Alligator mississippiensis: one gene and its partner. The protein of the gene in region 1 purifies or fractionates together with the protein of each later gene. This does not show direct contact. Links are inferred from orthologs where the notes say so. Each region holds a gene or a part of one and is shown on either strand. Other genes may lie near its edges.

The links.
Region 2: the proteins of RND3 (region 1) and PLEKHG5 purify together in Homo sapiens (affinity purification with western blotting; 3 studies listed by BioGRID and IntAct, with this or other methods). This does not show direct contact. The link is inferred for Alligator mississippiensis from reciprocal best matches to the Homo sapiens genes RND3 and PLEKHG5.

What each region holds. Positions count from the first base shown.
Region 1 is NC_081827.1:227,769,285-227,780,180, forward strand, and holds the start of RND3 (rho-related GTP-binding protein RhoE), read left to right. Parts: upstream 1-6,273; 5' UTR 6,274-6,463; coding exon 6,464-6,613; intron 6,614-6,777; coding exon 6,778-6,865; intron 6,866-10,896. UniProt on the Homo sapiens protein: Binds GTP but lacks intrinsic GTPase activity and is resistant to Rho-specific GTPase-activating proteins.
Region 2 is NC_081836.1:18,548,946-18,559,670, reverse strand, and holds the start of PLEKHG5 (pleckstrin homology domain-containing family G member 5), read left to right. Parts: upstream 1-6,626; 5' UTR 6,627-6,705; coding exon 6,706-6,838; intron 6,839-10,725. UniProt on the Homo sapiens protein: Functions as a guanine exchange factor (GEF) for RAB26 and thus regulates autophagy of synaptic vesicles in axon terminal of motoneurons. Involved in the control of neuronal cell differentiation.

The DNA of each region.
Region 1 (10,896 bases):
CTTATTCAGCCTTGTTTGGCATGTGTGTTATAGTACAGTCTTTTAATACTAGTTTATTTATTATTTTTTCCACTAAACCTGTCCTAACTGCACAGGATGGGTCTGCTCTGCAGAGGAATCAGGGTTATGTAGTGAAAGAGACTGTTCCTTTTAGAACCCTGGTTTCATTTATTGCATATGTTACAAGATGAGCACTAACAACTGCAGTAGAATTCAATGGGAGCCGTGCTTTGAACATTACTTAGTGTTATACAGCACTGTTGTCTCAAAAATCAGATCCTCAGCAGCTCAAACTGGGCACCCAGAGTTTTATTGTTACTTTTGACCTTACTCTCTCTGTGCTTCCCAATCTGCATTTTCTTTCCTGCCCCCATCTCACCTCATAGGGGTATTGTGAAAAGCAGTGCATTAATATTTGTAAAGTGCTCGGATACTATTGTGCTAAGTGCCATAAAGAGCCTATAAGGAATTAATAATTGTGTGTTGGGAGCAGGATTTGAATAGTGTCCATTAAACAAGCCAATACCAAACCAAAGGTAAACAAATTATTGAATAACATTATCCCATATGTGTAATGAGTTCTAGGGGCCTGTGGAAAAAACTAGTGCATGATAACTTAATTTAAGGCTGCATCATGATGATTATGCACAAGGGGGCTGACATTTCCTACACGCAGGAAATACGCATTTCCTAACGCTTGAGTGCTTGACCTTGCAACACTGATAATGTTCTTCTAACCTCATTTTGTAATATAAAGGGAAAAAAAACTGAAGTGCAAGTTTTATATAAGTAATATTATTTAATAACTTCCACATTGATTCTTGGTTGATTGATTGGTACTGGATAGATGGATGGACAGAAATTTTGATGATAATTTCAAATTCAAATTATGCAGCAGTCACTGATACTAAAGCCCCTAGTATCAACTATTTTACTGAAGCCATAGTAATAGTGTTCAAAGAAATGATCTGTGAGCGGTAGGAAATGCACCTTGACATTCCCATACAACGTTAAGCAAAATTGTATTAATTAACATAGATTTTTCTCTATAGTATGGACCCCTATCCTTAAGTAGAAGGTAGAGAAATGTGAAATTTTAGAAAAGGATTATAAATGAAGAAAAACAAAGAATTTGAGCTTAACAGAACAACTAACTCTGATTTACAAATCCAAACCAAGCCCCTGTACACAAAATTCCAATGGAAATGATAACTCTTGTGGACTATTTCCCAAGGTATTAAGATACTTGATTAGGCATTAACTCTATTTATTTTAAATAATTAATAGTTTCACAAGGATTAAAATCTCCAGAATAATTTCCCTACTGATTTACAATAACCAAAATGTTTTAGCAGTGGACAGGCATGTCTTTCACTTCACTTTGCTAGCTTTTGAACAAACATTTATTGTGACCAGTACATACAGCTCTGAGTTCCTTTTGTTTCACTTAAAAATCAATCTAGAGTAGTTATAACTGGGTTCCTTTCTTTTTTTTCCCTTCCTTCCACACTGGTCTCCTTTCACTACTACAGTACCTGTGAGCCAATGAGCATTTGATAATGTTTGGTGACCTCTTGTAATATTAGTTCAGTCTTAGAAACTTTGATGTTCTGCAACTTGGCATATGAAGACCCAAAGAGAATTCCTTTGCTTGCTTTTTGACAGAATGCAGAGTACTTCAAGACAACCTGAAAGCAGTGGGTTTTTTTAGGTTATCAAAAGTGGCAGCATCCGGATCATAAAAAAGAACAAACTGTTCAAATAGTCTTCCCTTTCAATGTTTCTCTGTACTGTGTGCTGGTGGAAGATCTTTGGTGATAACAATAGTCAGGATGAGCCAAGTGTTCCACATGCATTAAAGTTTCCACATTCCTAACATAGTTAGATGTCTTTTCCAAACAATTTACATGATTCTGAAAAGTCACCAGCTAGACCTGGTAATATGAGCATTTGAACGTTATTTTTCTTTTCCTTTCACTCTATGCTGAATCTTGGGTGGAGAACTGAGCCATAGCCCAGAAATGGACTTATACCAGTGTGAGGGTGCCCCTACCTTGTCACTAGAATGAGAAGAGGAGCCAGGGGTACCTGCCCCCTTTCCCTTCCTTCACCCCCGCCCCCTTTGCCTCTCTTACATTTTGTGTGTTTGCCAGTGCATCCTGTCTCTGGTAGAGGTCCATCCCCCCTCGTTTCCTGGTTATGTAGTTCTGACTTCTCTCCCCACTTCTCTCTTCCTTCCCATTTCATCTCTCTCTTCTGCCTGTGCTCCAGCGGTAATGCCACATGCAAATTCACAGGCAGAGAAGCCTAAAGTAAGATGGTCACTGGGTCCAGGTGCAGGCAGAGCTTGATGACACAGGAAGAGAAAGTAGGGGGTCATGTGACCTAGGGAGCCCTATATAAACCCAAGTCTCAAGTCAAGGTAGGCAGTCTGACTGTGGGAGTCATTGAGGATGCAGCTTGTTCTGTGATGAATAAGGACTTGAGTCCAGACTCTGGTGAGAGGATGCAGGTGGTAGCCCCAAGTGAAGGGAAGCTGGGCAGTTGCATGGGAAGCAAGCTAAGTACCCCAGGCACTCTTTGTTTTGTTTTCCTTTCTATTTGGAGCCTGTCCCCAAGGGGTGTAGCAAACCCCATGTGGGATGTTCCTTTGAACTGGGACTGGTGCTTGCATTTTGTGACTTGCATTTTCCCCAGAGGGCTGAGTTGTGGCTTTAGGGGAAGCCACTGAAAGGGGGTGACTGGGGACACCTCAGACTTGAAACTGTACTGAATGGACAGAGGATAAAGACTAGAGAGTATTCTGTGGCCCTTTGGAAGCTGAGCTTGCCTTACAGGACTCTAAGGCAGGAGGTGGCAGGGAAAAAACAGGACTTAAGGCTCCTAGCTGCCTATGTGGCGATATTGCGGGTGCTGAGACCTAAGGTTATGGGACATGACTGGTGTGGAGCCAGGAGCTTGTAGCCCTGAACAACGGGCCCCAAGCTGGAAGGCTCTGCAACAGTAAAATGGGATGAGACCAGGGGGGAGCCTTGGACCAGACAGGGCTCACCTCTTCAGAAGCATGCCTTGCCCTCTGTGTGCAGCTTCCTCTACTAATTGTTGAGATAAATGTATGGTAGGTGAGACTACTGAATAGGAGAGAGAGCAGACAGTATAGATGCTAATATAGGCTTTTAGAGGTGGGTACCCTGTAGCAGCACTCATAAGCTACCTACAATCAGTGTGTGTGTGTGTGTGTGTATTATTTATTTATTTATTTATTTATTTATTTATTTATTTTTTTATCTGTATATTCTACCACCACTGTCTTGGACATTGCTGATGTACTTAACACCTGCATTCAGTCACTGCTCAAAATTACCCACTCTCCAAAAGACTAATGGAAGCAAGGCCTGTGCTTCACTTTAACTCCTTCAAATATACATTTACATTAGACCTAAGAGGCATATCAAACTTCTAAATTATAGATGGGCAACTAGAGCCAAGTTGTACTACATAGTGCTTCAGATAAACACCAGTAACTTAATTTCAGGTATTGCACAAGATTGGGATTAGAATGTGGCACAGGTAGACTTCATGTGAACAACAAAATAATTCTTCCTGCTCTTCCCCCCTTCCCCCCCCTTTAATTTCATCTCCTTGGGACTTGCTGTTTGTTAACAGCCATGCAAATAATTTTTTAATAGCCATGTTCAAATATCAGTATTTCAATGCAAACAATTTTTTTTCTTCTGTGAGCAAGAATATCTGTTATAGTTTGCTATTCATTAATCTCCTGATTTTAAAAGTTTGTCATCCACTAGGAATCCAATACAGTATTGTGGGATGTAGGTAACCCATCACAACTAGAATGAGTTAAGAGCTGATGGGAACTATTCATTTAAAAAATACACAGGCTGCAAGATATTTTTCCAAACTATTCAATGAATCCTTATGAATAAAAAATATTTGCAAGAACCTGGGCCTCTCTGCAAATGCTTCCAAGCAGCAAAGAGCTACATTCCTTATTTAATTTATGAATGATAAATATTCAGTTCCAGTTGTGCAACCTAGGAATGAAGGCAAAAAATGTACAATGAAGTTTGAATTCATACTTACTCATGCTTAAGAGTATATGCTAGCCCTGGCCACTAATGGGATACAACTTTGTTTTTAAAAAAGCTATAATAGCAGCACTTGCCACATTGGGGTGTTGTGAGACTATTAATTTTCAGCACCTTGAGGTCTACACATGATGCCTCTGTATATCTATATACAAATGGATAACGATGTCTTGGACTAATTGTCCAAGTTAACAGAGCAAGATCCCACTTTAACACCACTATCTGGGGTATATGGGCACAGAGAGGTAAACCCAGCTAAGCAAAATATGGGGACAGAGTGGACAGGAGAGGTAGTAAATAATTATTACCTTTTATATACTGAATTGTATGGATAATTTTGCTGCTGGTATAAACCCACAAGGAGGAATAACAGGAAGAACTTCACTGAAAGGTATCCTTCCCAGGGGTAATCCATCAATGATGTATTTTAAGAACCATCCTTTGCCTGTGACTGTGCCTAAAGTAAAAAATTTAATCCCAGCTGTTGCACAGTTTCTGTTCTGATCTCTGTAGCAAGGTCACATTCAAGGTTTTCTTCCTTAAAATAGAGATTCAACATCTTTATTTTGTTTCTTATATGGCTCTGAATTTTCTACCAGTTCTCCCTTGAATTGATTTGCTGTGATAGTGTGTTAGTACTAAGATCAATGATCAGTTTTAAATCTCTAGATGCTGCCATAATTTGGTTCCAAAGAGCAAAAAAATAAAACCAACCCAACTAATGGCAGCAGGTTGATAGTGACATTTTATTTAGTTCTGAATTCCCCTGTCAGATAAGGCGCAGAGACTACATGCCTAAAGCACACTTGTTCAGCTTACAATATTATTGGTGGGTATTTTATGCCTTTTTTAAAAACTGAGAGCGAGGAGTTCATTAAAGGATACATGCTATACCCACACAACCACTTGCTATGTCTATCTATTCTTACCGCTCGACACAGAGTAGAAGTCACTCCGGTGTAGAAGTCTGCATTGAGGTCAGGTGCAATTCACCAGTGAGCAGACGGCCACCTTGTCTCCCCCTTAGGTGAGTTTCATGTTTTATGCTCCAACACTTGAACTTCCTTCCTCTCATCAGTCCTGGGCACAGACTGGCTAGATTTACCTAGTGTTTCTGTAACCTACCTCTGGTAAGATGCAGGCAAGACCTCTGATGGCAGGTACTATCTGCAGCTAACGGGGCCTTGAATGAAGCATTCAAAGCCCCGAGTCTTCCCTCGCTTAGGCTGATTGAGTGCTGGGGTTGAAGATTCGACTCCTATTTGACCTTCCCTACTGAAGCAGGCTTTGATGTGGTGCTGCCTCTTTCATGTCACAGCAGATCTCAACTTCCAAATTGTTGAGCCACTGTCTGGTATTACTGCTCAGTGTGCAGCTTCCATCTGGGAAGATTGTAAGGACTGCAGCTTTCCATCAAGTGCTGTTTGCCGGACACCCCATCACACAGAGGGCTGCCCAAGATGTTCATCTTGTACAGTGTTGTTTTAAAGCATCCATCTCCGGATTTCAGTCTGTTCAGCTGGATCCACACTTCTCTGTCAAGATGGTGCCCAGTCTCTGGTGCTGGTATAAAACACCCAGCAGCTGGCCCACTCCAGTGCTGCCCACAGATTTGGTTTGGCACCCACAACCTCTTCCAGGAGCTCGCACACTTCATATAGCTATGACTTCTTGAAGCCTTTTGGGTCTTCTGTGAACAGTGATGGAGCAGGTGATTTTCATCATGTCTCACTTTTATTGTCAGTCATGATGGGGTCTGCATTCACACTTGGTGTGATGCCCAGCGTCTGTGTAGGTTATGCAGTCCTTTTTTTTTTATTTGGATACTCTGCATAGGGGATGACTTTCTCTGCACCTGCCCTCCGCCCACCTGAGAGCACTGGGGCCGGAGAGAGCGGGGGATGTCTGGACCTGGGAGCAGAGCGAGCCTGAGGCTGAGGGGGGCTAAGGCAGCGTGGCGGGGAGGAAGGTTTCTGGAGGGCGGCGCTAGGACCCCACTCCCCGTGGGGCACGGACTGGCCCGGGCGGCACGTCCGCGGAGCTCCCCTAGAGGGCGGGCGCAGCCGGTCGCCGGCTCGGCTCCCGCTCCATAAAAGGGTTGGGGGCGGAGCCGGCTCCTCGCGGGCGCTCGCGATTGGAGGCGGCGGCTTATAAAAGCGGCCGGCGCCGCGGAACAAAGCAGTGGGTCGGAGCGCGGCGGCGCGGGCTGGAGGGAGCAGGTTTGGGGCAGAGCCGAGCCGGGGATAAGGACGCAGCTCGCTCGGGCTCTCCCTCGCTCGGCTCCCCCCGCCTCCTCCCTGCCCCTGGCGCGGGCGGGCTGCCTGCTTTCTGCCGGACGGGGACGCAAGGCGACACCCATGAAGGAGAGAAGAGCGAGCCAGAAACTCTCGAGCAAGGCGGTCATGGATCCGAACCAGAACGTGAAGTGCAAGATCGTGGTGGTCGGCGACAGCCAGTGCGGCAAGACCGCCCTGCTCCACGTCTTCGCCAAGGACTGCTTCCCCGAGGTACGTCCCGGCCCGGGGCGCGCTGCCCGTCCTCTGCCCCAGCCGGCGCGCAGGGGTGCCGGGAGGCTGCCGGGCTCTTAGCCGGACCTGCTGCTGCTGCTGTGTCCAGCTCCTTACCGCCGGTAACCACCTCTCTCTCCTCTTTCCCTCTCTCTGTTCCTCAGAACTACGTCCCGACCGTCTTTGAGAATTACACGGCCAGCTTTGAGATCGACACGCAAAGGATAGAGCTGAGTCTGTGGGACACTTCGGGTAAGAGCTGTGCACCGTGGCCCGCGGGGGCTTGTGTTCCCTCCGGGTCCTGTTCAGGACTTGCGTGGAGCTATTTCTGTCTAAGATCAGGGATTGCGGCCGCCCCGCCGCACCAGGAGCTTTTACTGAATCACTTATATCCTCTTACTGAATCACTTGTATCCTTCCAGCGGAGATCGCAGGTGCTCCCTAATGTAAAAGTCACCTGTGATTAGGAGGTGACATTGTTTTAACGTGCCCCTATTTCATTTAGTTTCTCTTTCTCCTCTCTCTCTTTCTTTCTCTCCCTCCCCCTTTTCCCTTCTAAAAGTTCTTGTGGAGAGTAGCTCAGCAGATGGGAGGCTATTACTATTGCATATTGTGAGCCTTTCATCTTAATATTTGTCATCGCTGCTGTGAAAGCCAGCGTGGGCTCTCCTTAGGTAAAACATGATTATACAGAAACAAGCAGATTAATGCTCCTACGGACACTTGAGCTGGTTAGGGGCGTCTGCCTCTCTGACCTGACTTTCTTGCTTACTAAGGGCTCAGTCCCATAAACCCCCGTGCATGCACATTTGGTTATCCCTTGGGCAAGCCCAGGCAAGTCTGACTTCAGTGAGACTACTTGAGTGAGTAAAGGGACCTAGGTGCATAACTGTTAACAGCCCAGTGCTGTAAAATGGCAAAAAAGAAGGCTTTCACAACACTATAAGAAGTACTTGGTGAAGAAGGTAATGTAAGAACAGGAAATCTATGGTATGTATGATGCCCAAATTGAAGTGGGTGCAGCCAGAGTTACAAATGCAGGGGCTGCAAATGGTCCTGTTCCAGGTCATTTCCCAACTCCTCAGCCTGAAATTGATGCACTTGCCCCTCACTGAACTTTTTTCTTTTAACTCTTGGTTTCCCCACTCTCCCACCATGTACAGACTGATCGACACTGGCCATTCCCTTTCTTTGCCCCTCTCTCTCTCTCCCTGGCCAGCCTGCACAGAGGAAACCTTGCCTACAGCTTACTTTCTTCCATCTCCACTGCAGGGGTGTTGAGGGCAGGGCTGCAAGTTGGTGCCAGTGTTTTCCTGTGGATTCCAGTCCTGTCCCTGAGATGGGGCACATGAAGCTGCAACAAGTGGATACCACTGGGGGTGGGGGGAGGCTTTTTGGAGGAAACAATTTTTTGTGGGAGGGAGAGGCCTTGGCAGAAAAAAGTCAAACTGGAGACTATGGAAAAGGACAGCCTTCTAGAGGCAGGAGATGCTGTACACAACACTCTTCCTAAGGGACCAGCTTGAGGAAATCGGAGAACAAGGGGACAGACCCTGCATGAAAGGGACATGTGTTTTGAAAGACAAAGTAGTAGTATGAAAATGAGTGACTTCATAGCATGATTTCCCTAGTACTTGTGAGGAAGTGCACTGTACAGAGAGCTCCTGTAGGACTTCTGCAAAGGGAAAGCGGAGTTCCTGAGGTAGGGAAAAATCTTGGAGGGCAGGAGGTAGAATGGGAAGGGCCCAAGCTTTAGAAGGGAGAACAAAGAAATGTGGAGTGCACACCTTGCTGGGAGGAAGACAAGAGTGTAGAGAGCATCAGAAGGCAATAAAGACGACTGAACGTGGCAGTTCGCATGCAGCGAGACAACAGAATGTGGAAAGGGAACAGACCACCCAGTGTGTGAGGGGAACACTCAAGTCTGAGCAGGAAATGGAGCCCCCGTAGGGCAGGGGAATCTGAGGAAACAATTCCATATTGCTTTCCACTTCATAGCATGGGGAACAAAGCTTCATTCTAGCATAGGCCTTGCCTAGCTTTATCAGAAGCAGATGAAAAACCATGTAGTCCAGTCATTTTTTGGCTCTGCAGTAATTTTCCCAGGATCCTAGAGACTGTTCATAAGAGCATTAAGTGCCAAAGCTAGTGGCTGTTTGTATTGGTGCATAAGACTAGAATCGTGAAGGGAGTTGGGAAGATAAATCATTGTCTGATGAGCCATTGTTATCTTGTGAAGCAGCAGGCCATATGGGATTCTTGATGCAATCCACTGTAACTAGATAGGAACTAAAAATTCCCAAGTGCCCTGATGACCCTGAAAAACACATTATTTCTATTAGCACAACTAGAGTGTTTTGTTTCCAGATGTGAATGGCAGCTGTCCTGGACCAGCAGCTGCATCTGGTTTTAATTCTCTTATCTACAGAGGGATATTTTACTTAGCCATTTACTCTATGTGAAGTGATGAAGGGTGGAGATGAAACCCCCATTTAATAAGGAGATTGTGTATATTACAGTGGAAGGAGAAAAGGCATGACTTCAGGAGGAAAACTCAGCATATGGCTTGTCATGAGAGAGAGGGTCATCTCTAAGAGGCCTGTATGCTGATGTCAGGGCTACATGGCCATCATCCTGGCTGTGCAACTCCAACTCCTGTGAAACACCAAGGAGAAATAGATAAATTGCATCTACATGGGTGTTAATAGTAGATGAAGCCAGCTGATGAACATTCCTCTTGGAGTGCCTTACAGAAGGTTCTCTTTTACATCAAACTGTTGTCCAAATGCAGGACTTCCCTGGCTCTGAAAGGTGCTAGAGCATTAACAGGTAGAGCTCTAATGGTGAGCTGCCACTGACCTCAAGAGGTGGCAGAGGGAATAATCTCTCCTCTCAGCTCTAAGTACTGCAACCAGAAAAGCTGCCACTTCTTCCACCCTCACCCAATCCCTCCCACTCCTGTTTCAGGAAAAAAAAAACCAACTTGGATGCCTGGTGGTGGATCCAATTTCAAAGGCCAATTGAAATGTTAGCTAATGGTCAGTGATTCAGATCCACAATGTGGTGGTGGTGATTTGAGGGGGGGCCTGGATTCTCAAGCTACCAGCAAAGCAGGTCAGTCTCACTTTTTAGATCAGCCACTTCCCAACATTTATGCCCTACTGTACCTGTTTATCAGACTGAGAACTCGGCTCTGTGCTGGACTTGATTCAACCATATTCAGTATCGTTCTTCATGTCACTTAGAAGCTGTGGAGAGAGACTGGAACTGGGAACAGCCCACAATCTGTTGCCAATTTGAGATGAGCTGAATGAGAGGTAGTCATATAATCCAAGAGTGGGAGAGTTGAAGTGGCAGTATCAGTAGCTGTTGGAGCATGAGTGTCTGGAAACCAAGGCATTAAACTGATCCCTAACAAGAAAGCTGAACAGCCTCTCTGCTCCTCCATTTTCTTGCTTGGTTGATATCTTATGCTGATGCTGATCTTGATGAACACAGTTGTTTCTCCACGGGGGAGATGTGGGGGAGGGTGTTGATTTGGATACCAAAGGTAAATTTAGGAAGATTATTTTGTTAAAAACATGGGAAGCTTTTAGATGCTGATTTTTGGTTTTCCTTATTGTGGCTGATTAGCAGTAAATGATCTCAAATTATTGGAATGCTATGACAAAGCAGGTAGCTTCATCACCCAGGCTAAATAGTAGCGTGTTTTCAAAAAGCAAAATAGCTTCTCAAACTTCCAAAGTGTAAATTAGCATTCCATCAGTGTAATAAAGCATGATGACTAGTTTGATTTTTTTTTTTTTTCCATCTTCTCTACTGCTTCAAAGATTTAAAAAATGACTTGCTCAATAAAAACTCTACAAAAATGCACTAAACTTCTAGAAAATTAACAGTTAATAAATTTACTCCAAAATGTACGTGTCTTTTGGATTCATGAAATTGTGATCCCGTCACAAGTCAAAGTCTCTGATATGTAAACATCTTAAATTGGCCTGGAAAAATAGGCCAGACATGCTTAGGGTAGTGGAATATTTTGCCTTTTTTTCTGAAAGGGAAGAAATAGTTTAATAGGAATATACATCTTAACTGCTTCCTGTTTGAGGCCTGATCATGAAGCTAATAGCAGATTATTTTTTTCCCTGAGTTAGTTCAGGATCAGCCTGTTAATTTTTTAACAATTTAAAACTAAAACCATCCAAGATGTATATACGAAACCAAACATTTGATCTTTCTAGTTTACAAGTGCCATATAATCAATCCAGTGCCTGGGGCATTTTACA
Region 2 (10,725 bases), on another chromosome or scaffold:
GCCTTGGGCAAGAAGCAGATCTCCTTTTTTTTTTTAAAAGATAATCTAAGACTGAGAAGCAAGGTTTGCCCAGAAAAGAGCTACTGTAGGGAATCGCTGTTGTTATAGGCAAGAGCCCACTCAGGCCCAGAAGCAAAGTAATTCTCTTCTCGCTGATACCATGGCTGATGAAGTTCTTGGGTGTCTTCTCACTCATACTGTTTGCTTTGAGGAGGAACAGTTGGGAAAGGCCTTCTGTTGTGCAGGAACAGACTGCTAGGTGCAGCTGGCATCAGCTAATTTGCTGAGTCCATTGTGAATGTGCAGAGCATGGAGCAGGCAGCTCACTTGCTGATGAGTGGGCCAGGGCCAGAGCAGGTACTCCTGGTTTGTGGCTGTTACACAAGTGCACCTTATATTTTTTCTGTTATCTTGTCCTGCTAAAATGTGGTGACTCATGCTGCTTTCTCCCTCTTGCACCCTGCAGCTTTGGTCCTGATGGACCTGGGCTGAGCAAGTGCAGTGGGATGCTCTGGCTGCTAGATTTCTTCCAGCTCCACTGCAGAGTTGTGCACAGCAAGGTTTGAGTTGTGCATTGGGAGCTCTTTCTGGAGAGGGGCAGCCTGACTTGGTTGGCAAGACCACAGGTGCTTATGGATTCTTCCACGCTTGGCCATGACTAGGAGTGTTCACCCCTCCTGTTGATAATCCCTTGGTATGGATAAGGTCAGGCAGAAGTGTTCTGCACCCACCTTCCAGTGGGGCACAGCCATTTGGGTCTCCACTCTCTGTTCATGTTTTCTCTACTAAACTCACTCAATCTGTAGTTTCATGGCTCACCCCCAGTTGGCACTTCCAGCCTTCTGAGACTCTGGATTGTGGTTGGTTGGTTCTCTTTGAAATGCAGCTGTTCTCCCGTCACTTGTTTTACTGGCTGTGAGTCTAGCAGGCTGACTGTCGTGGCTGGTCTGGTGTACAGGGTGAGGGAAACGGTCCCGTTCACCCCTGCTCCAGTACCAAACAGCAGTCCAGGCTGGCCTTCTTATGTTGTATATCCATTGTAAAGACAGAGATCCAGGTGTGAATACTTCATTTCTGCTCCTGGAGGACTCAGTTTCTCAGACAGCATTCAAGGCAGAAGAAAAGCTAGATGCCGGTCACCTATCTGCAGTGGATATGCCCCAGCCCCCCAACGCACGCACATGCACCATCATGCAGGGTGTTTCTTTTTCCTGTGCATAGGGTCTTATGCTAATCAGTACAGGTTTGGTTCTGTCCTTCTGGGCCTGGGCTTACCTTAGAGTGCTGGTGTTGTCTGTCAATCTGAGGCAAGATTGAATTTGTATCAAAGAAACTCCAGACAAAGCCGAGAGGACTGGCCTGAATAACCAATGAGCAGAGAATATGAAGCTGAAAGAAAAGCTTGTGTAATCTGCACAGAAGAATGCAGGCACAGAGGCTTTGGATCTTCTCCGTGGCAGAGTCAGTTTATGGAAAATGTGGTTTGATGTAGACAAGCCTACCACAATAAGTCTGGGGCAACAAACCAGAAACAAAGTGCACTCTCAATGGAGTGGCTGTGCAGCAGCATAGCTTCCCAGGGAGGGGATATGAAGGTGGTTATAAAAGAATGCTCCGAAACAGCCAGGCTGCAGCATGGTGGAAATGCAACAGATATATTGCGGGAAGTGTAAGGGAGGGACTGCAAATGGGAGGAAGAGGCAGGCAAAGAGCAGTGGCAAACTGCGGGGCTGGTTGGAACAGCATCTTCCCAAGGGGCCATTCCTTGGAAGCATACTGGCCACATCAAGTCCAGAGCCTACCCTGTCTGGGGCATCTTCTTCCTCCACTGCTTTCTGCCCGCCTCCCTTGGAACCTGACTCATTCTCCGCCGTGCTCTCTGCCTTTATCTCAGCAGGACATTGGGTCACTGTGTTAAAACTGCCAGAGCGTGTGGGCTTGCCAGAGTACAGGCAGGTTGCAGTACTCTGAACTGGGGGCACCCTGAGGAATGAGAACTGAAGGTCATAGCCAACAGAGATGGGAGAGGTCACAGGCAAAAGTGCAAAGAGTGACAGAGAAGCCTTCGGGGAGGGACAGGGCTACTGTGTCAGAGTAGTTTACCTGACAGTGTTTGGCACTCACTGGGTGTATGGTATTCCATGCCACCTTTTTACAGGGAAGTGACTGGTTGTCTGCATCTGTGACAGAGCATTCTGGAGGAGCCCTTGTCTGGAAGGATCTGACAGGCAGAGCTGAGAAACTTGGGAAAGGAAATGATTTCCTCATTGAGTCTGACCTTTCTGTGTCCTTTCTCCTCACCAACTTGTTGGTTCTTGCATTAAACTGTTATTAGTCTGTGATCAGGCTGTTGGGGCCTGGCCTGGTGATGCTAAGTGCATATGGTTCACAATCTAGCACAGCAAAGCACTGCATGTTAGGGAGATGGTGTGTAGAGGTGAAGTCAAAAAAGGTGAGCAGGTCCTGCCGCTGCCTTGTCCTGTTCTTTTGGTTTCTTTGTCAGAGCCCCCTCCCCCCCCCGCTGGAGGTAAATGAACCCTGCTCCTGCCCCTGGCCCAGAGCAGTGTTATGTTCCCCAATGCCAACCCTGGGTGCAAAGTGAGCATCTTGCACTGGCACAGAGGCCAGGTCCCAGTGCTGGCCGCCCAATGGGAAAAGCAGAGGGGGTCAAGATGTCACCTTGGCAGGAAGTGCTGCAGAAGCCCTGAGCACTTGAGCTCCTTGTGTGCTGGGCTGGGAGCAGAGGGCTCTGTGCCAATGTCATGAGAGCACATAGCTAGAGCTCAAAGGCCCTCGGGAAAGTTGGCCCCCCTTTTTTTTCCCAGAAACATTTTTCTTTTGCTTGCCTTTCACGCTGATGACCCTCAGAGGAAAGACCCGGACATTGGCATGGAGTCTGCCAAGCTGGTAGCTTGCCAGAAGCTGGAGGCTTGTGCCTGATTTACATATATATGCATAATTGTCTTGAGTGCGCACAGCCACATTTGGTGCCTTGTTGGCTGGGTAGACCTTTGTCTGATCAACCTTTGTGCTTGTCCCGCAGCCCTTCAAAGGGAATGACCCAGGGGCTGGGTTCTTTATGTCCTGGGTTAGGTGCATCTCTTCAGCCCCAGCCCATGCTTGCAGGACTTAGGTACTGTGGTGAATGGCTGACAGGCCCTTGCATTGTGTTCCCTGGGGAAGAGCATATTTGGGACTCTGGGGGATCCAAGGAGGTTGTGAAGGGCTGTGCTGCAAATCTGATCACTTAGTGGAAGAGCTGTGAGCAGCTGCTCCATGGTGACTGCAGGTTTCTGTGGTGAGGGCCTGAGTTTCCTGACTACGCAGTTGTTCTCACTGTAGCCAGTCCCTCTGTCTGTGGTCTTCCTTGTTGAGGGGACAGAGAAGCTGGTGAGAAGGGGGAAAGAGGAGAGCAGGGTGGAGCCATGGGAGAAGTTTAGTAAAGGAGGGTTCCATCCCTTGGCACCCTGCAAGCTCCCTTCTGTCCCCCCAGCCTGTGGGAGGGGAAGAGTTTGCCTATCTCAAGCTGTAGACATTTGTGCTTTTAAGCTCTTGAGTTCTCCAGTTGACTATTGCACATAGACAAGCTGGCAGCTGCCACACAGTCCCACTCCAGACACGTGTGGCAACCTGTGATTCATAAACCAACTGTTCTCTTCCGTACTCACATTCTCACAGTGGCACCCAGCTCTCTGTGCCTGGAGCATTCACACTGCATTTGCACTTTCCTGACAGCCACTTGCCCCAAAAGCACATGGACCAGGAAGCAGTCAGACCTTGGTTGGTCAGTCCCTTCTTGTTGCCCTCAGAATTTCCTATGGCCGGTGGCTATTCCAAACCTGGCAGGTTTGGCTGCCATTGGGTGGACCTCACTACAACTCCTTATTAAATAATAGGATGGTATAAATTCTGGTCAAGTAGGAGGTGGCTACCGGAAGCCTGAATGCCTCCCACAGCCGAAATGTGGTTGCTTATGGCCTGGGTCTGAGTCTCCTTAGCTCTTTCCTACCCTTGTGAGACTTGCCCTCATTCAGTTGTGCCTCCTGGTCGCAGGCTGACTCCAGGCAGGAGAGAAGCAGCAGAATGAGCCAGCTGCAAACCTGTCTCCATCTGCGTCCTCTGCCCCAGAACAATACTTCCCCATAGTGCTTTGCGGTCTCCCATATCATCTGATTCTGAACAATTGAAAAGAAAGTGTCAATGAATCTTGCATAACTAGGGAGAGATGACAGGTGTAGGTTGTAGCCGTGTTGGTCTAAGGACACAGGCAGACAAGGTTCTTTGGGTGAATCTGATATCTTTTATTAGACCAACTTAAATAGTTGGAAAACAATTATTAAGCAAGCTTTCGGGTTCAAAAACCCTTCGTTAGGCTAAGGAAGTTTCTGCAGTTGGTGCATGCTCTTCCTGGATGGAATGGAAAGTAAAGAAGCCAGAGGCTGGTCGGGTATGCATACAAGACAGGTAGTCAGTGAAAATGCAGATCGAGGAGTCAATGGGTGAGAGACAGGCTGGGGGGGAGAGAAGGGGGATGAATAATGGAGAGAGACCTGGGGAGTCAGATGTCAGGCAGGTTATAATGTGTCATAAATCCAATGTCTATATTTAGTCTATGATTTTTAGTATCCAGGAGGTGGTTGAAGTGGAGTTCATAGGCTTGTCTCTGGGAACCAGAGCACATACCAGAGCACGTACCAACTGCAGAAACTTCCTTAGCCTGATGAAGGGTTTTTGAACCCGAAAGCTTGCTTAATAATTGTTTTCCAACTATTTAAGTTGGTCTAATAAAAGATATCAGATTCACCCAAAGAACCTTGTCTGCCAGGGAGAGATGCACATTTGCAGTGCAGCTGCTGTGGGTGTATCCTGAATTGCTCTGGGGTTCTGTGGCCAGCAAATGGTTTATCTGAAAGGGCAGGCCGAAGTGCTCAGCCAAGCCAAAAGGCGTCCTGAAGCTGGTAACCCAGAGGGACCAGGCGCTTTCAGTATGCAAGGGAGGGATGTAAGTGGCATTGCCTCCTGTTGCCTTTGGTCCTGCAGACTGAATAACCAGGTGCCCATTTGCGTCCGGGTCAGCCTTTGGCAGGAATCCAAAGTGGGGCTTGAACTCTTGCTTGTGGAGTCACAGCAAGAATGAAACAATCCAGCCCCATCATGGGCAGGATCTGTCTGCTGGGTGGTTGGGGTTTCTTGGGGCTGTAGAGGACTGTGAATTGTGCTGTCATCCCCAACCCTGTTCCATCACCAAACTCCCTAGAAGCTTTTTGCAGACTGCTTCTGAAATTGCTTGTCAAGAAAATCTGTGGAGAGGGCCTGGCCCACGGAGCTAGCTATGCACCTAGCCGGGTTTTAGACCCTGCACAAACCTTTTCCAATTGCTCATACTGAAGGGGGAAATTCCATTGTGTGAGCCAGGGTGAGCTGGAACAGAACTTTACCGCAGTCTTAAAACTTGAATCGCAACCAGGTGTCTGAACAGAGAGTGGAAATTGGGAGCATTAGTGATGTTTGCTGGTGCCTGGAGCATGTAGTTTAACTGTTGTGTTGCCAGGGTCTCCATGCTGGCAGACACTTGCTAACCAATGTAGTGTTCCCGACACCGTGGCTTGAGCACCAAGGTGAAACACTCTGGTTTGTCAAGTCTGCTATAGGGTATTTATCGAGGCATGGCTTCATGCTGTCATGAATCCTACCAGTGCCATGGGTGGTTGTGACTTCAGCATTGTCAGATTTTCATTTGTGATCCCTGTGATTGAGCTCTAATCCCTGTTCAGAGAACTGGGCAAATGCTGGGGTGAGTTGGTATCAAGCCCCATGCTGGTGTGGTTGCACCCAGATTGGCCCAGGCACTCTGCACAAGATGCCTTAATTGCAGCATTCCCAAGTGCTAATCCTTGGCTCAGGATAGGGCTGATCTCTGGGGTGGGGATAGTTGGTGTTTCCTAGATGAGCCAGATGGGGAGTGATGGCTGGAGCTCCTTATTCACTGTTCAGGGACTGAGCTCTCTTGTCCCATCTGGAGAACAGCATGGCTAGGACTCTTCCCTTCTCCAGCATGGTCTCTCCTGTCTTTCACACAGCTGCAGCCTGCAGTCCACCCACCTGACACTGACCCCTCTTTCTCCAGGGCTGGAAATGGTCAGTGACTTTTCTTAATGGTAGCAAAATGCGTGTCAAAACAGGCACTGTCCATACCTCATGCTGGCTGTTGCAGTTAACACTGGGTTTGCACTGTGAACTTCCTTCCTGGGGAAAAGGTGCAGGAGTAGGGGATGGGGAGACATTCTTCTTTTGGGAGGTTATTGTGCAGGCAGAATGGCTGAACTGCCCTATTCTTCCCAGTGGCCAGAATAATCACATACGCGTCCTGTCCCCTCAGCTGATTTTCTGTCTGAGATGGTGGAAAGTGAAATGTGTGCAATGTCTGTAGGAGTCTGAAGAAAGCCCCTTTGTCTGCCCCTTTGAGCATCGCCCAGGCTCAAGCAGCACCCTCCACCACTCCAGGACTCCCGCGCCTCAGGATGAATGCAGTGCTTGTCCAGAAACCGGGACCTGTTCTGTGCAGCTGAGTTCCAGTCTTCTTCTGCTAGTCCCACAGATGGTATTGCTGTGGAAACATGCTGCGGGCACCCTTTCAAGCAGCAAAGAGCCATAACCCTCTTCTGGTTGTTGGGCAAACAAGGAAGAGACCCGAACCTCTTCAACATGTTTCTGTACTGGAAGAAGCGGGGCGCATATGAGCTGGAAGCTCTCCCGACATCTCTGACAGAGCTGGAATATGGGGCAGTGGAACGCTTCTCCTGGAGCTCCACCTTGGATATTATTGAGGACCTTGGGGGTAGGTTGGCTTTGCTGTGGGGATGGGAAGGTTGCTCCGTGGGCAATGGCTGAGGTTGCCCAACTAGCATGCACATGCTGTTCCTGCTGCTGAGAGCCAGCTGGCAAAGAAGCAACCAGCTTTTCCTTCATAGACATTTTGTGGGGGGCTCTGCCCCAGCCCTAGATGGGTGACCTACATTGCACTCAGCAGGTGTGAGAATGCAGGTCTGGCTTGCCAACCTGCTGTTAGCTCTCTGCAGCTCTAGGCTTGCTCCCATGTGGGGAGGGTAAGGGCAGGTTACAGATGAATGCTGGGATGGAGCATGGAGTCACTTGCCTCTAGTGCTAGGAGAAAGCTCTCCCAGGAGGTATGGATATATATGACAGCTCCCAGCACCTGGTTTCTGTTAATCGAAAACCAATTGCTGGGGCCTCCCTTGCCCATAGTGCTTGCTGCCTGCTGTCTGAATGTTTAGTTTCAGTCCAGATAGGCACCGAATTCTGGGGGTGTTTTGTGAGGTGGGTAAAGATAGTGATGAATGCACCTTCCTGTCTGGGCAGTGTGAGGGGCAGGACTTGGTGCCCTGCCACCACTTTGCTTCCCTGTGTCACCTGCATAGTAGGAGCATGACTTAGCTGGCAGCACTTGGGTGTTCAGAGGGCTGATGCTAAGGGCGGGCAGCCTGTCTACCTGGCTTAGCATCTGACATCCACCTCAGCCCACAGGGTGTGGGCAATGAGTGGCTCATGGTCTGAGCTGTGCAGGTCTGCCTTGCTCTGGGGTGAAGACTGAGAGAACTCTCCCACCAAGTCTGGAATTGGGGGCTTTCCAGGTAGACCCTGAACCAACCAGGCATGGTAGCAGGAGGGCAGCATATGTTTTCCCTAGAGTCTAGAGGTTTTCCGCTCGGCACTTTTGGACTTTGCTCTTAGCATAGAAATAAAGGAAAGATCTGGCTTTTGGGTGGGGTTTGGGATGAAGCTCCTGTCCCAGCCTGCATCTGATCCTCAGATTGGGTTTGGGTTTGTGCATTTTCATAAAGCCTATCCCCATTGCAACAGAAAGTCCTGGGTCCCCCTGAGGCCAGGCCATAACTGATTGCCAGGATGAGGCCAGCAGGGCTCCATCCCTCTTCTCCTACCTGCAGGGCAGAGCTGTGCTAATGCAGGCCTGGCGTCCCGGGTTTGGCCAAGGGCTGCCTGTCCCTTCTCTGTCTGAGTTTTCAGTATGTTTAAAAAACTTCCTCTTGCCTGCATGAAAGAATTTCTGATTTGTGCCCATTATTATTCATAATAGGTCAACTGCAATGATAATTCCAGCAGGCCAGCCAATAGGGCTGCTGTTACTAAGCCACCAGACACCATGGCGATGCAGCCTCGGACAGAGTGGTTATTGTGTTCTCCAGGGACTGGTTTCAGCATGTGGGCAGCAAAGCTTCACAGCAGGCACATTACTCCCATCCCTATCCGATAAAGTCATGAGTCTGGCCCCGCTCACCCTGGGGCTTATCACTAGCAGGAGCCTGTTCCCCAGAGCTGTGGGCCTCTCCTCTCCTGGCCCTTGTGCTACCCATGGGATCCTGTCCCCACTCTTGTGGTATACATGTCCCTGGCTGCTTCCAGGGGCTGTGGCTGCATGGCAGTGCATTCCACTGTGGCAGGGGAGTGCAGATGGAGCCACCCTGGCATCTGACCTGGGGAGGGGTGAGGGGCAGCTTTGAAGCAGCCCATCATGTGGAGGAGCTACAAGGGACAGAGACTAACCTGGCTTGAGCATGTGCAGTCTTAGGGGGCTGAAGAGGGCTGATATCATAGGCCTGGGGGGTTGTGGTGGGGGTTGTGGTGGCTGCTGGGGTCAGCTTTCATGACGTAGAGGCTGGGGTCAGCTCACACAAACTCTAATTGAGCTGTTGATACAGGGGAGAAGGGAATATGCCTCAGGTCGCTCCTTGCAATCTGGTCTCAGATGTGCTGAAGCTCAGCTCAGCTTGGTGTAGCCTCTCCTCCACATACCAGCATACAGCCCTCTGGCCTCCAACTGTCTGCTGCAAGGTCTCCCCAGAACAGCCTTCCTCTAAGCCCTATGCTGCTGCAACTGAGAGACTGGAGGCTTCAGCCCACCCTCTCAACTGGCTGTCACCAAAGGATGTGTGGCAGAAAATGGCCTGTTGCCCATCTGCATGCACACACTAGTACCTGCTATGGCCTGGTTGGCCACATCTCTGCAGCAAGCAGGTGAAATGCTCCTCTGGTTTCTGCAAGGCTCAATGCTGCTAGTTTCTGTTGGCCCAGAGAATAAGCTGATTATCTCTAGCCTGACCAGCACATTGCTGTGTGTGTCTGCTGCTGGGAGCCAGCACATCTTGTCTGGATTCTGCAGAAGGAGGCATGAGCAACTGGTTTCTCCCAAGTCTGGGGGGGGGTGGAACTCGCAGAAGGTGGTGGCAGCAGCGGCAACCCTGTAAGGGGGGGCATGTGCCCCCTGTGCTCTCCTACCAGTCATCTATGGAAGGAGGGTTTATTCTCCCAGCAGGAACAGTGTTAACTGCTCTGTCTGTGTTTGTGCGTTCCCCCCTGTCAGTCTGTGGGGATCCCAGTGGGAAGAAGCTTCTGCAAAGGCATGTGCAGGTTGAGGAAAGGGACCAGGGGTCAGATTGTTCCCTTCCAGAAGACAAAGCTCAAGTAGTTCCTGCTCTGGCCCTCAAAATCAAATGGTATGGACATGTTTGTTCCTTGATACAAGGAAGCTCCTCAGCTTTGGGATCACAGCCTGCTGCTCTGGACTCAAAAGCAAAAGACAAATTTGTGCTTTTGAGGCAAAAAAAAAAAAAAAAAAAGAAAGGGCTAAGGCCCCAAGCATGCCAAGCATGTGCTTCATATACCTGAATGCCCTCAGTGTCCCATGGCCGCTTCCTGCTGAGCAGTGGTATTGCTAACTGTGCCACTGAGCTGCTCTCCTACTCACTAGGCATGCATGTGCACTATCCTGCAGGCCCTTGGCATTTGATATGAAGGCAGACCCATGTCCAGCCCCAAGAAGCATACAATGTACAAATAAGCCAGGGAGAGAGGCAGCCTGCTGACAGCTGACCCAATGGATGACACAGAGCTGCTGAATTGGGTGTTAGAAATAGGAAAAGAAAGAGGAGAAACCACCTCTGGCAACACGGAAGTGGTGACTCATGGATGCTGCATGGAGGCAGAAACCAGCCCAGTTCTGGGAGACATCTGGTCTCTGGCCCATCATGGCAAACCCTGACAGGTGACTGCAGGCCATGAGTGAGGCATTTTGGCCCACCCCTACAACACCACTTCTTACAAAGGAGCATTTGCTGCAGAATGTGGTGCTCGTTCCTGAGATGGAAGCTCCTAGTTTCCATGGCATTGCTCCCTCACTTGGCAGGGACTACGGCCTGTGTCTCGGGCTCTCTCAGTGGCCTGGGAAGAGTCAGTTCTCTCCAGTGTGTACCACAGTGTCCTGAAAATGGAAATCCATCCCCCTGTCTCCTCACTGCCCTTGGTGGCTCAGTCCTATACCAGCCCAATGACAGTTCTACTTGGATTCTCGAGCAGCACTCGGGTGTTGGAGGAGATATGAGATTTTTTTGGGCCAAGAGCAAGGAGCACTGAATTGCTGGGGCTGGGAACTCCTCCCCGTTGCCTTAGCTGGACTCTGGTCTCCACTGATTCTGCTGAGGGGCCTGAGGCTTTGGGGGACTGAATTCAGGCAGTCCAAGAGAACACTGTGTGTGGCTAAATATGTTTTGTTACTAGTTCCTAGGATGTCCGTCTCTTCTAAGCACCACAAATACCCCAAAATATTAATGTGATGGGAGGTGGAGGGGCTGCCAGCCAGTCGCTGGAAGGAATAAGCACGCTTCATTCAGATTAAATGAAGGAGCAATT